Linked DNA regions of Caenorhabditis elegans. The protein of the gene in region 1 purifies or fractionates together with the protein of each later gene. This does not show direct contact. Each region holds a gene or a part of one and is shown on either strand. Other genes may lie near its edges. The genes, in order: acp-6, semo-1 and far-6.

Region 1 (3,992 bases):
GAGATTTTGGCACAAAATGTTGAATTATGAAAATCTCAAAACTTTTTCAGCGGTCTCGTTATGAAAATCAGGTACTTTTAGCATCTAAACAGCATATGTATCATGTTTGGGAAAAAGTTTGGGTTTTTTATTCCCGTAATCCATCATATTACATTGACCACTTTTACCGCTACTTGCCGACTGAACTCACAATTTTTTCACTTGGAAATTGTTTTAGCATCTGCAAAAAATATTTATTTATTAGTTTTGATAAGAAAAAACGGAAAAAAATCGGTGAAAACGAAAGAAAACACACAGAAAACAAAGCAAGATAAATGGCCGCTGAAATTTGTCGGGGACTCGGCCATGGCCTAGAAACCACTTTTCCTCGTCCCTCGTGAGGAAAAAGTTGCAGTGTATCAAGTGGACGATATCCAAACACTTCGGTTTCCAGTCTGGAGTTTTTTTTGTTCTCCATGGAGCTTCACGTATCTTTTAAATAGAAAAAAAAACGATTTTCATCGCAAAAATAGTTCCAAATCGAGGTATACCCCTTTAATGAGCACAGTAACCCATTCTCCGTTATTTTGCAATTTTCATTGATTACTTTCGAATTATTTATTAAAAAGTAACTACATTAGTACATACGAAGCGAATCAAACGATTATTATAAATTCATGCAAAGAATCTAAGCCTTGTCGCATTGAGACTTCCAATCGGAGAAGGACTGAAAATGTTAATTTGTTACAATAATCTAACCTATTTTTCCAACTTACGAATTGTTTTGCATAGGCGAAGAATTGTTCCAATGGAATGAATCCATCCTTGTCAGCCAATTTCTTAAGTTTTGGAGTAAGTTCAGCTGGATAGATGACATGATCATCGATTGGGTTAGGATCATGGTTGAGAAGACGGACAGCTGGTTTTGGAAGACGTTTAAATTCAACTACGAATCCAGCGGAGGTGGTCAGTTCATCCTTCACGTATCCCATCAATTTCATGACGGAAAGAGTGATTTCGGTGTGCTGGAATTTGAAATTTGTATAATTTTTTCACAGGAAATAGAGGTTTCACATTAATATTGACAGGTTGTAAATAACTTACAGAAGCGTATCCAATAACTTGTGGTCCCTTTCCAGCGTTAGCATCAGCAACCTTATCAATCAAATTCTGAAGCCAATATCCAGCCATCAAGTTTCCGCATGGTCCGTACTCTGCACAAGCGTTCTGATGAACTTCAGCAAATTCCAGAATCTTAGCCTTCAGCTTCTCGAAAGTGTATCCTTTCAACTTTGGAGCCTTAATCCATGATGGATATTCAGCCTTGTAGAGATCAATTTCAATGAGATTATCGGCCAAATCAGCAGCTTTTCCCAGATTCTCCATGTTCCATTTGGTGTTGTCAGAGAAGTATTTGAGCTCAGCTGCGTTGCTTGTCTTGAGCTTCTTGAGGAATGGAAGGGAATCCTTGTCGATTGGGCCCCAGACTGTAAAATCAGGATTTATATGTTCACATTATACAAGTACAACCGTACCCTTATCATTTCCTTTGCATTCCTTAACAGCGTACATTCTAAGAAGTGGATCATCAATGGCATATGGGACTGGAGACCAATGATCGTACCATTTCTTATCCCAATCCCCCCATTGTTCTGGATCGTGGAGAGCAGCAGTGACAGTCTAAAAATTTACTGTTTCAATGTGGCAACTTATAGTTAGATAAATTTTGATTATTTTACTTTGAATTCGGAATTCGCCACATACCTGAAGAGTCATTTGGCATCTGTTGGCAGAACTGGAGTAATATTTAACTTGAGATGAGTTGTAGTTACGAGAGATCAAATTTCCAATAAAGCTTCTCAATTCCTTTCCCAATCCAAGTCCTTGACGCTTTCCGAACTGAAATATTACTAGATTTCATTTAGAAACTCCAATAATTAATACTTACTGAAGTCAATTCAGTATTTCCCTCATGTCCCCAGCTTCTTGGATTCTCTTGGAGAAAAACTTCTGGATGACGGTTTCCGTGACGAGTTCCGAACAGCACAAGAACCGAGTTCTTATCAATTGCAACAGACTTCTTTGGGAGAAGATGGGCGGCTGAAGTAGCCAAGATCAAGGCAGAAAATAGTAGAAGGTTCATACCTGAAAATATAATTTCTTTGTCTGAGGTGGCGTAAAATACAACGGTAAAGTTGAAGAAACATATCACTTTTTAATGAGAGCAAACCAAGAAGTATGAAAACTGATAAAGCTTCTCATGACTAGACTACCTACATGCCTATTCCACAAACGTTGCAGGTCCGCAAGAAGGCATTTACTGTTTAGACTAAAAGGTAGGAGATTGTAGAATGATAGATTCAGGTTGAAAAATACATATTCTGAGAGCTTTTCTAGACAAATTTAAAATTCTGGTAATCAGTTAATTACACAAGAACACTGAATTGCCAGTGAACTTCCATCTTACCCGGCGTTTATATACTGTTTTTGTTTTGTTTGAAACGATAACAAACTGATAAGATAACACGACAGAACACAATTCAATAAAATTGAATTAAAAGAAGATATGACCCGATTTGAAATAAAAAGTATCTTCAGGTGTTTTGTTACCGTTTCATTGAAACAGAATGAACAAAAAACCGTTAGTTGTTGGTCTAATAGAGAAACCATTAAACACGGAACTAATAATTTTATTAAAAAAATCTCAAATGAAATATCACGTTAGTTCAGAAGCCTGCGCCGGCCTCGTACCTTCCCGCGTGCTCAATGATCTGCGAACCCTTGCCGTACAACTTTGGTATTCGTCAGGTTCAACTGAAAGGCACAAGGCAGGCGCGATAGAAGTGGGCCTACAAATCAGTCACTATTTTTAAATTCAAGCTGTAAAATAATTACTTTAACATGCATCCATGGCACATTTTGGAAACTGTTACTAACAGAAAATTTCAAAATTTTACTTCTATCCTGAAACCGATCGAGCACTAGATGCTAACTTTATCTTAAAATTACCTTTTTTCAAGTTACAAAAAATAATTCTTTTAACTTTTCTATCTATGTACCTAGGATAGCAATACTTGAGTACTGTAAATCTAAATCACATGCTACCTAGTACGATCTTGTCATTAAAGGATTTCTCAAGGCCGTGACAAGAGACCAGACGTGACAATACCAAAATATCATGATAAAAATATAGATCACAAACAGAAAGGATGTTTGGATGTACGTTCTCAACATTTTGTGCCATTCTTTTATACTCTGTTAGGTACGACCAAACTTCAATTCAATTTGGCCTCGAAATTGTCATGGAAGGGAGAAATGAATTGAAAATGAGACAATTTTAAATGAATGAAAGAAAAAGATGAAATACACAAAACACATAGAAAACAGACAAACATGAAGAAGATCAATTGTTTATTTGAACTCAAAAACTCCATGTTTCACCATCTCATCTTCAATTCAATTTCTTCCAATTGAATACACCAATTACTCTTTTTTTCTCTGTTTCACAAAACCACAAAGATCGCGAGAAAACTTTAGTTCCGGTTTTTCTCCGAGAATCTGCGAGAGTTCAAGGTGAGTTCAAATGACCGTGAATTGCGCCGTGGCAATTTGAATTTCAATTAGACAGAATTTTTGAGACTTCATGAGCAGAAGGCTGAAGTAAAGTTTGCAGAGAATACGGTAGGATTTGTCTAGTATATATGCCTCCCGGGTTCCTATCGCGATGGCTCCATTGTGCTAATTGAGGCATTCGCGAGTTCGTAGGGCTCTAACATAATTTTCGGATCTTTGGTGCCTTCTGGAAGGGCTACACCAAAAGCTAATTGGAAGAATTACTACTGTAGAAAACTGTAGAAAATTTGGTTAAAATTACAAAGGGGCTAATGAAAAACACTTATTATTGGATAATTGTATTAAAATTGGGAAGGGCTGTTGTTTAGAAACGACTGACAAATATTGAAAATCAAGTAAACAAATTATTTCTTCTAGGCAGCCTACATCTGCCTCATGCC
Region 2 (7,735 bases), 7.6 Mb from region 1:
ATTTCAAATCGAGACTAACTTGAAATGTGAATAAATTTACCGATTGTAGAAAAACTTCAAAACTGCAAATTTAAGCAAAATTGCACCAGTTAACAGTTAAGCTATTAACGGCTTACGTTTGCTTAAAGTTTGCAAAAAAATGTTTAACTATTTCACTAAAACTTCATTAGGCGTTTCAATAAATTTTATATAATACAATGAGAAGCAATGTGAAAATCCAATAAAATTCAAATGAAAGATTGATAACATGCCTCATTTTACTATTGGTATGAGTTTTCTATTAGTATTGTAACAGTATTAACATGTAGCAATATTAACTGTAATTTCCCCATATATTTGTGGAGATTTTTATGCTTAAGGTGGATTTGAATGACTGTTCTCATGAGGAAATATGAACAACTTAATATTCAAATTTGTTTATATTTCCAATAATAAAAAAAAAATAAAAATAAAAAAAATTTCGCATGCTGAAAGACGCCGAAAGTTTTTTTTTCATCGTCGACCAATTTTTTTTAGCGAGTGACATTTGCCGTTTGCCGTTTGCAGCACCTAAAATAAATAAAAAATAAATAAAATTGTTGTTTAAACCTTTTTATTAGTGGAAAACGTAATAAGAAATTTGCAAATTTAATTAACCCAAGCTGAGTTTTTCTAAAAATTTGCTATATTCGCGATACATTTTTTTACTGTTTCAAGGAATCCTCATGGAGATTTTCAATAATTTACAGTTGATCCCATCTTCATCAATAATTTTGTCCTTCAAATTTTGGAATTTGTCGCGCGCACAACCCTGAATAATTGTTTATTATTTTTCTGTTAAGCCTAGTATCAGAAGATAAATTAAAAACGAAAAAACTCACTATTTTCAATTTCAAATAAATTCACGTTTTGTAGTCAGATCGGTTTTCCAAAATTAAAAAAAAATGTTATCAAAATATCTGTGCACTTTGAATCAGTCACACAATGTTCACAAATTCATCTCTAAATTCAAAAATTAATCTCAACCAGAAACGGTACTTGTAGTTTGTATCAGAATAATTTCCTACGTGTTTCTAGTAGATTTCTAGTTGGTTCATTGAACAATCATCTTGATGACTGCTAGAGATAAGACATAGAACAGCTAGTGATACCTTATCAATGTCATCCCCTTCTGTTGTCGATTGTCTTTTTCATTTTTGATTTTTGTGTTCAGTTCGTTATATAAATAGAGAGTAGTGGAAAACTGACAAAGTTCCTGCAAACTAAACCCGTCTGAGCCAAAATTAATTGTTTTCAAAACAGTTTTGTCACCTTTCCAAATAATCCTTTTCAAAAACAAAATTATTTTCAGTTTCACTGTGTGTTTATAAGTTTCACATTTTTCAGTTTTTTTTGGTTTTGCTACATCCGCGTTAGTTTTTTAACTTACAAATTTTCGCTGTATTTTTTTTTTAATTTTTACATTCCCCTTTTTAGAGCTGTGACAAAAAAAGTAATTTTTTCTGAAGCTAAAAATGTTTGCCCAAAAGTTTTCGTGCAACTTGTTTTCAAAGCTACAAAAATAGTGTCAAACTTGAAAAAAATTTAATTTTGCTATAGTTTAATTCAGCAAAAAATTGTATGTATGTAACTTTTTAATCCATACTACTGATTTGATTATATTGTTTGATTTTAAAAAAAAGTCAATATTTGCAGATCAAAAATCCCAAAAACCAAAATGTCCCCAAACTGTGGTTTAAAATGTCATGGTGGTCCAGGATATGCATCTCCAGCTGATGCTATAAAAGGACCACGAGAAGAAGTTTTATTTGTGACTGCTCCAAATGCAGCTGATGGTCCTGATGCCATTTTTACAGTTGATGTGAATCCAGAGAGTGACACTTTTTGTCAGGTAAATTTTATTTGTAAAGTTGATTTTTTTTCTTGTTTGGAGGAAAAAAATACTGTTTCAAAAAGACGTATTGAGTTTTAGGAATAACTAATTTTTTGATTGTCTTTTGTAGATCACGTCCATAAAGCTTGAAATAACTGTTTCTATATCAGAAAAATTGTTCAAATTACCGGAATAAAATTGCAATTTTGCAATTTTCATCTCTGTTGCATCAGCCAAAAATAAATCAGGAAACTTTGATTTGATCTCTCTGATTTCAAGGTTATCTCAAGCTTAAGAGTTTTAAATCGATTTGCACGATATATGATTGTATAGTAAAAATTAAAAATTATTATTTAATTGAAAAAATTATCGGTTTCAAAATATTGATATCCACTCGTAGTTTTAGCATTTAGAGATCGATCAATCATAACATTTTCCAGTAAAATTAATATTTTCAGGTGATCAGCCGAGTTGATGTGCCACATATTGGTGATGAAGTCCATCATACTGGATGGAATGCGTGCTCTTCTTGTCATGACAAACCAACTGAGAAGAGGTTAGTTAAAATATTTATTGTTTTAGGATGATACTATTACTCTATTAGTACAGGTGGCAAAATTAAATCAACTGTTCGAAACATCAAGTTTTGTTTAAAAATTTTTTTAATTAAATTTTCATTTTTGAAGTGTGGTTTTCCGACTTTTTTTTTTTAAAAAGTGGTCACAATAACATGTTTTTTTTTATTCTTCAAACAAAATCATCATATATTTGATAAATCTATAGATTCTCCCTTGTTTGTTTTTCTGATTTTTAGATTTTCTCAAGAAAAAACTGATAAACCTAAATTTTTCCACGACCCTTGATACGGATGCAAAAGCTTTGTAATAAAATCAGATCAGAGCGACATTCACGAGAAGATCATTTTTATAAATTTAGTTAGACTTGAACCAATTTCTTGAAACAGTTTTTTAATTCGAATTTACAAACTTCACATTTCAGTCAACTGAAAGATCAATAAATTTTTAGATCGGAGAACTTTCATTAACAAACCAAAACAGTAGAATAATTTCTAAATAATTTCAGATCCCATTTGATCGTTCCTTGCCTGAACTCTGACCGTATCTACATTATCAACGTAGAAAATGAGCGTAAAATCTATCTTGAACATACAATTGAACCATCAAAACTTCATTCTCTAAACCTTTCATTTCCACATACTTCACATTGTCTTGCCGATGGAAATATTATGATTAGTACTTTGGGAGAAGCTAATGGAACTCCATCTGGTAACTTTTTGTTGTTGGATGGAAAGACATTTGAGCCGAAAGGAACATGGCCAGCTGACGAGAAGACTGTTCCGTTTAACTATGATTTCTGGTACCAGCCAAGGAGAAATGTGATGATTTCTACGGAATGGGGATCACCGAATCATATTAAAAAGGGATTTAATCCAGGTGGGAAAACTGAAAATACTTTTAAAAAATCACTGTTTCAACACCTCTTGTTTCATTTTACCAAAAATTAAAATTATTCCTTGCGGCATGAGCCATCAGCATCACTAAAAACCAAAAAGTTACAAATTTTTTTAAAACATGAAATTTTCCAGCTCACGTCGGAGAGGGTCTCTACGGAAACAGTGTTCATATTTTCGAATGGGACTCTAAGAAATATCTTCAAACAATTGATCTACCACAGCCACTTGGAGCACTTCCACTTGAAGTTCGATTCCTCCATGAGCCAACCAGTGAGCACGCTTTTGTGGGATGTGCTCTTGGATCAGGAATTTTTAGAATTCATCCTGTTGAGGAGGTGAGTAATATTCAATAGAATTTTCAGAAAAATTGAAATGTTTCAATAAGTTATTATTTGTTTAGAAACTGAGATTAATATGTTAAAACCGTAGAATAGAATCAAGATTAAAATTATTGTAAAACTAATTTGCCGAGCTCGGAAAATTTTGAGAACTGCCGCACATCCTTGATTGGGAGGTAGCAAAGTTTCCAAAACTGTTGCTTCTTCCAGAGTACTCAAATTTTATTCCATGAAAACTCTTCAGTAGAGTGTTTGATTTTTCAAAAGTTTCAGTCAATTGAAAATGGTTAAACAGTTTTGGAGATCAATGCCGTGATTTTACGAAAACATTGAAACATTCAAAAAACTTTTCAGTTTCAATTTGTCCTCATAACACACTCTGTTGTTTTTAGTTTAGTTCTGTTGGTATTCCTGTCATCTATTGAAATAGATCCGGTTTTTAGAATTCATCCTGTTGAGGAGGTGAGTAATATTGAAAAGAATTTTTAGAAAACTTTTAGAAAACTGTTTCAATAGGTTATCATATTGTATCTTATTGGAAGTTTATTTCATTTGCTAATCCAAAAAAACGTATGAAATCAAATATAAATGATCTTCGTAGGGGGAGTTGACAATTTATCAATAGTACTGATATTTTCGTTGTCAGTAATTGAATAGCAGTGTTGTAAGCTGATGTGTAACTTTCTGGGATCACCGAAACATTGCATTAGAAACTTTCAAGTTTAAAAATAAATAAATTGTTTCAATACGTTGTTATCAAAACTTCCGTTCTATTCAATTGATTTTTTTTCATTCCCGAAGTTTTCTGAGCAAGTTCTTTGGCAAAATGACTAACTTTCGAGAAAAATGTGGACATTTTGAGAAAATCAGAGCGCTTTCGTACATTTCAAATCCTTTAATGCTTTGGCATACATGATTAGGGCATAATTTGAATTTGAAATTCAGAGAAAGTTGTGTAGACCAAACTGCTATTTTTCTTTTTTTTCATTTGGAAGAACCAATATTAATTCAAAATAGTTTCAGTATTTATAGACTACTTGAAACATATAATAATTTTTAAAAAATATCTTTGAGTGTTTTTAATAATTTATTTTTAAATCAGTTTATAGATTCATTAAACGTTTAACAATGATGCAAATACTAAAAACGTATTTTTCCGAGTTTTTTAAAATTAGGTTAGTGAAACAGTAGATTTTTGATGAACCTTTTTTTAAAAAGCAGCATGCATTTAGTTTTGACAAAAAGTTCAAATCGATTTTTTCTGCGTGACTGTGAATCAAGAAAACTCGGTCAATTAAAGAAAGAAAAAATATTTTTTTTTCGACACTAAAAAATAATTTTAAAGCGCGGACATTATAGTCTCAGTGAAACTTTATTCAAACCAAAACGTTTAATCAGCTAATTGAAACATTAAAAATTTTATGATTTTGTTAGTTTTTCTAGCAATGTCAATGCAATCAAATAATTTTCAAGTAAGATGTTTAATGAGTTATAGACTTTTTTATTAAATTTTTGAAAAAAAAACCGATTTCAGATTTAAGTAAAATTATCTCTGCTTCTGCTGCATTGCTGCGAAACAAAAATTCCTTTCTGTGCAAAGTATAGTCTCACTGGAAATCAAGTTCGAGTGACAATTAGAAATCTCACCGGGTTTTCTAGATCATCTGAAACATATAATTTTAAAAAATTGACACCTTGTTCAACTTGAAACATTTAATCAGCCAATCGAAACATTAAATGTCTCATGATTTTTAAAGCTCTTTTAGAACAGTCGATAAGTCACGCCACAGTTCAATTGAAAACAATTTTCTAGCGAGATGTTAAATGAGTTTGTTGAAACAGTAGATTTTCGTGTAAACTTTTGAAAACAAAAATTACGTTTTAAATAAAATTATATCCACTTCAGCAGTGTGCCCTTGAAACAAAAAAGCTCGATCAAAAAATTTATTTTTTGTGAATGGCCACCAACTTTTCAGGCAAAATTACAAAAAAACATAAAATTTACTGTTTCAAAAAGTTAATATAATTTTGGCAGCGCATATACCTACACTTATTTCGACAGTTCGCGATAACCTCTTTTTGAAAATAAAGTTTTTCAGAAAAGTTGCTTCTTTCCTGTTCTCGAGGTGTTCTTTTAACACACTTTGTATTTTTTTTCTTGTAAAATCTCAAAATTCTGATAGTCAGTATGAAAATAGTTGCCAAATGTTTGTTGAATACTACTGAAAACAAATCTTCAGTGATACGTTGAATGAGAAACATTCAATTTTTCAAATAATTCCAGAACTCAACAACCCATGCAGCTACTCTCGTTGCCTTCATTCCTTCTAAAAAAGTAAGTGGATGGGCTCTTCCAGAAATGCCAGCTCTTATAACTGATATCCTTATCTCAATGGATGATCGTTTCCTGTATGTCTCGTGTTGGCTTCATGGAGATATTCGTCAATATGACATTTCTGATCCATTGAAGGTGAAATTGAATTCTCAAGTTTATATTGGAGGAAGTGTACATACGGAATCAAATGTAAAAGTTCTAGAAGGTGAAAAACCAATTGAAGCACTTTATGTGAAGGGACGGAAAATTGAAGGAGGTCCACAGATGTTACAGTTGTCATTGGATGGAAAGAGACTTTATGTTACAACTTCTTTATACAAGAAATGGGATGATCAATTCTATCCAGAACATGTCAAGTGAGTGCTACTTATGAAAAAATTTAGAATTATTTCTGAGAAAAAAGTTACCGTTTCATAAATGTAGTATATTTTGAGCAAACTATTTCCGCTCACTTGTGGGGCTATTCGCGAAATGTAATTCTTTTTTATTCATTTTATTCATTGAACCTTTGTCCTTACGAAACAAATTATCTCGAATTTTGTAGTTTACACTAAAAATACGCTCATGGTGAAATTATTGTTTAGAAAAAAAATCACCGTTTCAAAAATCTTTCATATTTGCAGCGATTCTCTCTCACTTGCTGAGTTGATTTTATCACGAATTCATGTTTTTCTTTGTTTTTCTAGTCTAAATAATTTTTAAAAAAAAGAACAACTATGAGAAATCGATAAAACAGTTCAATAGCTGCAGCACCGAAAGTTTGAAATTACACTACTCTTTAAAGGCGCACACACGTTTTCCGTTGAAAAAATAGTCACGTCGAGACTTGGTAATGTTTCTTTTCGTCCGCTTAATAATTCATGATAATTTCAAAAAAAAAACACCAAATTCGTCCTACTTTCTCAATGGAGCGCGTTTGCAACCCTGTCATTTTTCAGATCTGGCGCCACAATGGTTCAAGTCAACATTGATCCAGAATCTGGAAAAATGGAAATAAATCGAGACTTTTTGATCGATTTTGGAAAAATTGAAGGAGGTCCCTATTTGGCTCACGAGATGCGTTATCCCGGTGGAGATTGTACATCGGATATTTGGATTTAATTTGGTTTTTTTTAAAATGTTTTGCATAAAAAATTAGCTTGTACATATTCATCACAATTCATTCAGATTTTCAAAAAAAAATTGAAAGGATTTTTCAACTCATGATGCAACTAGAAAAACGGGGGAAACCAGGCGAATAAATATTGAAAAAAGGGGATTTTTGTAATGTGAACGAAGCAATCATCATATATGGTACAAAGAATGTGGCGAGTTGAAATCACGGGAATTTAGTAGAATTGCACAAAAAAATTATGGATTAGAAAGTAGGAAGAAAATATATGAACATCCGGAATTCTCCTCAATAAAAACTGGCTCCTTTTATCGATTGTCTTTTTCATTTTTGATTTTTTGTTCAGTTCATTATATGAATAGACAGTAGTGGAAAACTAACAAAGTTCCTGCAAACTAAACCCGTCTGAGCCAAAATTAATTGTTTTCAAAACAGTTTTGTCACCTTTCCAAATAATCCTTTTCAAAAACAAAATTATTTTCAGTTTCACTGTGTGTTTATAAGTTTTAAAAATGAAAGACATTTGATTCAAATGACCTACAACTTTTCTGAATATCTCAAAAATGAAAACTCAAAAAAGATGATCACTCGAACTAAATGCCCAGAAATTTTATTTTTGTTTTTA
Region 3 (3,205 bases), 6.9 Mb from region 1:
GCAAATTCTTTGAAAATATGTAGAAATACTGAAAAAATTCGTAAAGACACAGTTTTAAGTGTTTCCGTCTTATAAAAAATCCCTCTAAACATTTCCGGCAAATCTGATATCCGGCAAACGGCGAATCGGCAATTTACCGTAAATGAAAATTTCCGGCAAATTGGCAAACCGGGAAATTGCCAGAATTGAAAATTTCCGGCAAATCGGCAAACTGCAAATTTACCGATTTGCCGAATTTGCCGAACGGCAATTGCCGATCACCCCCTGATTTACACCAGGGCTGCCGGTTTGTCGGTTTTTCGAAACTATCGAAATATCGAAAATTTTCGTTTTTCGGTTCTCCAATTTTTCGACTTTTCGATTTTTCGGTTTTGCTAAAAAAAATGCATCTGAATTCACTCGAAATTGCAAAAAATGGTGGTAGGCACGCACGTATTCAAGATATTTTTTCCTGATTTTTTGACACTACAAATTCTTGCCCTTAGTTCAAAGTTTCACTTTATTGAACTGAAAGCAAAGTTCCAATAAACCGATTATCAGTCCTTCCACTTGACACGTAAAACATGCAATATTTGACACTGATAATGTCAAACGGAATTCCAAAAAAAATGATAGATAAAAAATTTGATTGATATGCATTAAAACAATGCCTAATAGTTAGAAAAAAGTCAGATAAAGAGTTGGTAGGGACGGGACGATTCAGAAATAAATCAATTTTGAATTGACGGAATTTCTTTAGCCAAGACTCGCCTAATCATATTTCCGAAACCGATCAAAATGTTTTGTTCCAGTATTCTGAAAATGACTGCGAACTCATTTTTTCAAGAAGTTCAAGAAAAAGAGGTTCTCTTTTGTTTTTTTTTGTTAATTTAGGTACATTTTAAGTCATTGGAGATATTTCACAGAGACTATATTTTCAGGTATTTGTACTAAATGAGAAACTGGATCAGCTTAAACCCGATGCACTGTTGTAAATGCAACTATTAAGGTCAGTCATGGTAATCTCCGTAATTCTGTTTTACAGGTCACAGCTCGGTTTCTGTGGGCTCATTGTAGGGATTCAAACATGCGCTATAGTTTTCTCAAAAAGTGGCAAAAACTTAGTAATTGCCACTTTTTGACTATCAATTAAAATTTTTTCCAACCAAATTTTAAAAAGCTTTACAATGATATTGTTGCATTTTGGCACCACACAGATTTAGGTTCAAAAAGAAAACCCTAAACTTCATTACACTAAAAGTAGTTTTCTTAATAATAGAAATCCAGGGAAAGTGAGTCATGTGTCTCGAAGGGAACGTGACATTTCATTGGAACTCTCGGTTCGGTACACTATTTCGTTAACGATGGGTCATCCAAGGTCGTATAAAAACATGGCCGGCGGAGCAGGAGCTGCACAGCAGAAGCGGCGCCGAGCTTTCTTTTCTTTAAGTTCTGCCGTTTTTTTCTCATTTTTCTCATCTATTTTTCTTTTAGAAATATAAATTATAAAACAACATACAGTAGACATGAAAAAAAACTTTTATGGGTCTTTTTTTGAACTGTTGACTTTGTGAAAAAAATGGCCTGAAAGCATTTTCACATCTACAGTGCCGGCCAATATTCTATTCGCTTTCCGTGATTTTATGATATCCAGACTATTTCAATTAAAAGTGGCAACCTATATAATTTAAAATGTTATAGCAATGATCCGCATCTTCCTTGTCATAGCACTTGCCTCCGTCGCTGTCTTTTCTGCTCCAATTTCACGCTTACCACAAAGCTTAGACGACATCCCAGCTGAGTTCAAGGAACTCATCCCAGCTAAAGTTACTGAATACCTTAAATCCATCACTACTGAGGAGAAAGCTGCTATTAAGGAATTTATCAAAAGTGTTATGGGAGGAAACAAATCTGTTGAAGAATTGAGTGCTGATATCAAGGAGCGGTCCCCATCCCTGTACGCTAAGGTTGAAAAACTCGACGTCCTACTCCGCACAAAACTCGCGAAACTCGACCCCGCCGCTCTGGCTTTATTCGGGAAAGTCATCGCTCAGGGACTTTCTTTCCGGCAACAGTTCCATGCCGGATACCAGCCAACTCCTGAGATGGTAAAGAAACTCTTCAAGGGATACATTGCTGAATATAAAACACTTTCTGAAAACGCCAAGGCCACCATCACCGATGAGTTCCCCATCGTCGTTGAATTCTTTCAACGTGAGTTTTTAAAATTTGAAATAAGATTAAACATTCGGTTATTTTCAGACGAGAAAATTCAAGCCATCATCCAACAGATCGTGAACTACTAAATTGTTTTTTTTTCAATTATTTTACCAAAATAAGCTTGTTGTCATTTAAAAATAAGTACCTTTGAAATTAGGTGTTTTCATGAAACAAGGTACACTAAGAAAATTATCTCCACAAAGTTTTTTACATTTTGCAATTTGCACTTCCTATAATTGCTTAAGTACTCCACTAAAAAACCAATAACAATTTAAATGTTTATTAAATGTATTTCGAAATTTGAGATTCATATGAAATACAAACAAATTGCAAAAAGTAGAAAACTGCGAAAATTATTTTCTTATTAAACTTTGTTTTATGAAAACACCAAGCGTTTAGATACTTGGAAATTCTAATAAAAAAACCGACCCGCCTGATGTCAGCTGCTGTAGCTTTTTTTCTGGAACAGAGTTGTATAATTTTGAAAAATCCAAAGTGTAGAAAAAGTTTTCGTCAATACTTTGTTAGTTGAAAACATTTTTCCAATAAGCAAAGTATTTGAGTTTAAAATATTTGAACAAACCATTAAAATCACTGCAAATCCGGGGTATCAGACAAAAACCAGAAAAGTATTGAAAATATATATTTATTGAAGTACCATCATAAGTTATATAATAGTTATCATTGGAGAGAAAACCCTAGACATTGGACAATTCGGAATACAAATAAGGATTGGGGATTTGGGGGAAGACGGGGGAAAAGTGAGGGCAAACTAGGCGGTACAATTATGGTTGTCTATGCGTATCCGTTTCATGATTGTTGTTTTCTTCACGGTATATACAAAAAGGCGAGAAGATTGTAGCAGTTTTTGGTTCGATGATGATGTGTGTGAGATGTTCGATCGATTAGAAACGACGGGCCTTCTTGCGGAAGTAGCAGCAAACCATGCACTGAAAGAGTGTTCGTTTGCTTATGATCTATTCGAGCCTCCCTCCCCATTCTTACA

Evidence for each region.
Region 2: the proteins of acp-6 (region 1) and semo-1 fractionate together in Caenorhabditis elegans (co-fractionation; one large-scale study listed by BioGRID). This does not show direct contact.
Region 3: the proteins of acp-6 (region 1) and far-6 fractionate together in Caenorhabditis elegans (co-fractionation; one large-scale study listed by BioGRID). This does not show direct contact.

What each region holds. Positions count from the first base shown.
Region 1 is NC_003282.8:6,424,016-6,428,007, forward strand, and holds acp-6 (Histidine phosphatase family protein), read right to left. Parts: upstream 2,125-3,992; 5' UTR 2,123-2,124; coding exon 1,928-2,122; intron 1,879-1,927; coding exon 1,744-1,878; exon of another isoform or gene 1,674-1,743; intron 1,660-1,673; coding exon 1,515-1,659; intron 1,467-1,514; coding exon 1,084-1,466; intron 1,005-1,083; coding exon 756-1,004; intron 707-755; coding exon 668-706; 3' UTR 585-667; downstream 1-584.
Region 2 is NC_003282.8:14,049,526-14,057,260, forward strand, and holds semo-1 (Methanethiol oxidase), read left to right. Parts: upstream 1-1,674; 5' UTR 1,675-1,696; coding exon 1,697-1,870; intron 1,871-1,969; exon of another isoform or gene 1,970-1,990; intron 1,991-2,268; exon of another isoform or gene 2,269-2,289; intron 2,290-2,310; coding exon 2,311-2,408; intron 2,409-2,423; exon of another isoform or gene 2,424-2,444; intron 2,445-2,470; exon of another isoform or gene 2,471-2,492; intron 2,493-2,749; exon of another isoform or gene 2,750-2,770; intron 2,771-2,842; exon of another isoform or gene 2,843-2,867; intron 2,868-2,935; coding exon 2,936-3,306; intron 3,307-3,383; exon of another isoform or gene 3,384-3,404; intron 3,405-3,458; coding exon 3,459-3,661; exon of another isoform or gene 3,662-4,126; intron 4,127-4,211; exon of another isoform or gene 4,212-4,236; intron 4,237-4,299; exon of another isoform or gene 4,300-4,320; intron 4,321-4,446; exon of another isoform or gene 4,447-4,467; intron 4,468-4,643; exon of another isoform or gene 4,644-4,665; intron 4,666-4,783; exon of another isoform or gene 4,784-4,804; intron 4,805-4,969; exon of another isoform or gene 4,970-4,990; intron 4,991-5,007; exon of another isoform or gene 5,008-5,028; intron 5,029-5,270; exon of another isoform or gene 5,271-5,291; and 20 more.
Region 3 is NC_003282.8:13,326,679-13,329,883, forward strand, and holds far-6 (Fatty-acid and retinol-binding protein 1), read left to right. Parts: upstream 1-1,680; 5' UTR 1,681-1,682; coding exon 1,683-2,193; intron 2,194-2,241; coding exon 2,242-2,285; 3' UTR 2,286-2,636; downstream 2,637-3,205. Other genes in the region: pqn-74 (Chitin-binding type-2 domain-containing protein), read right to left, coding at 3,105-3,149.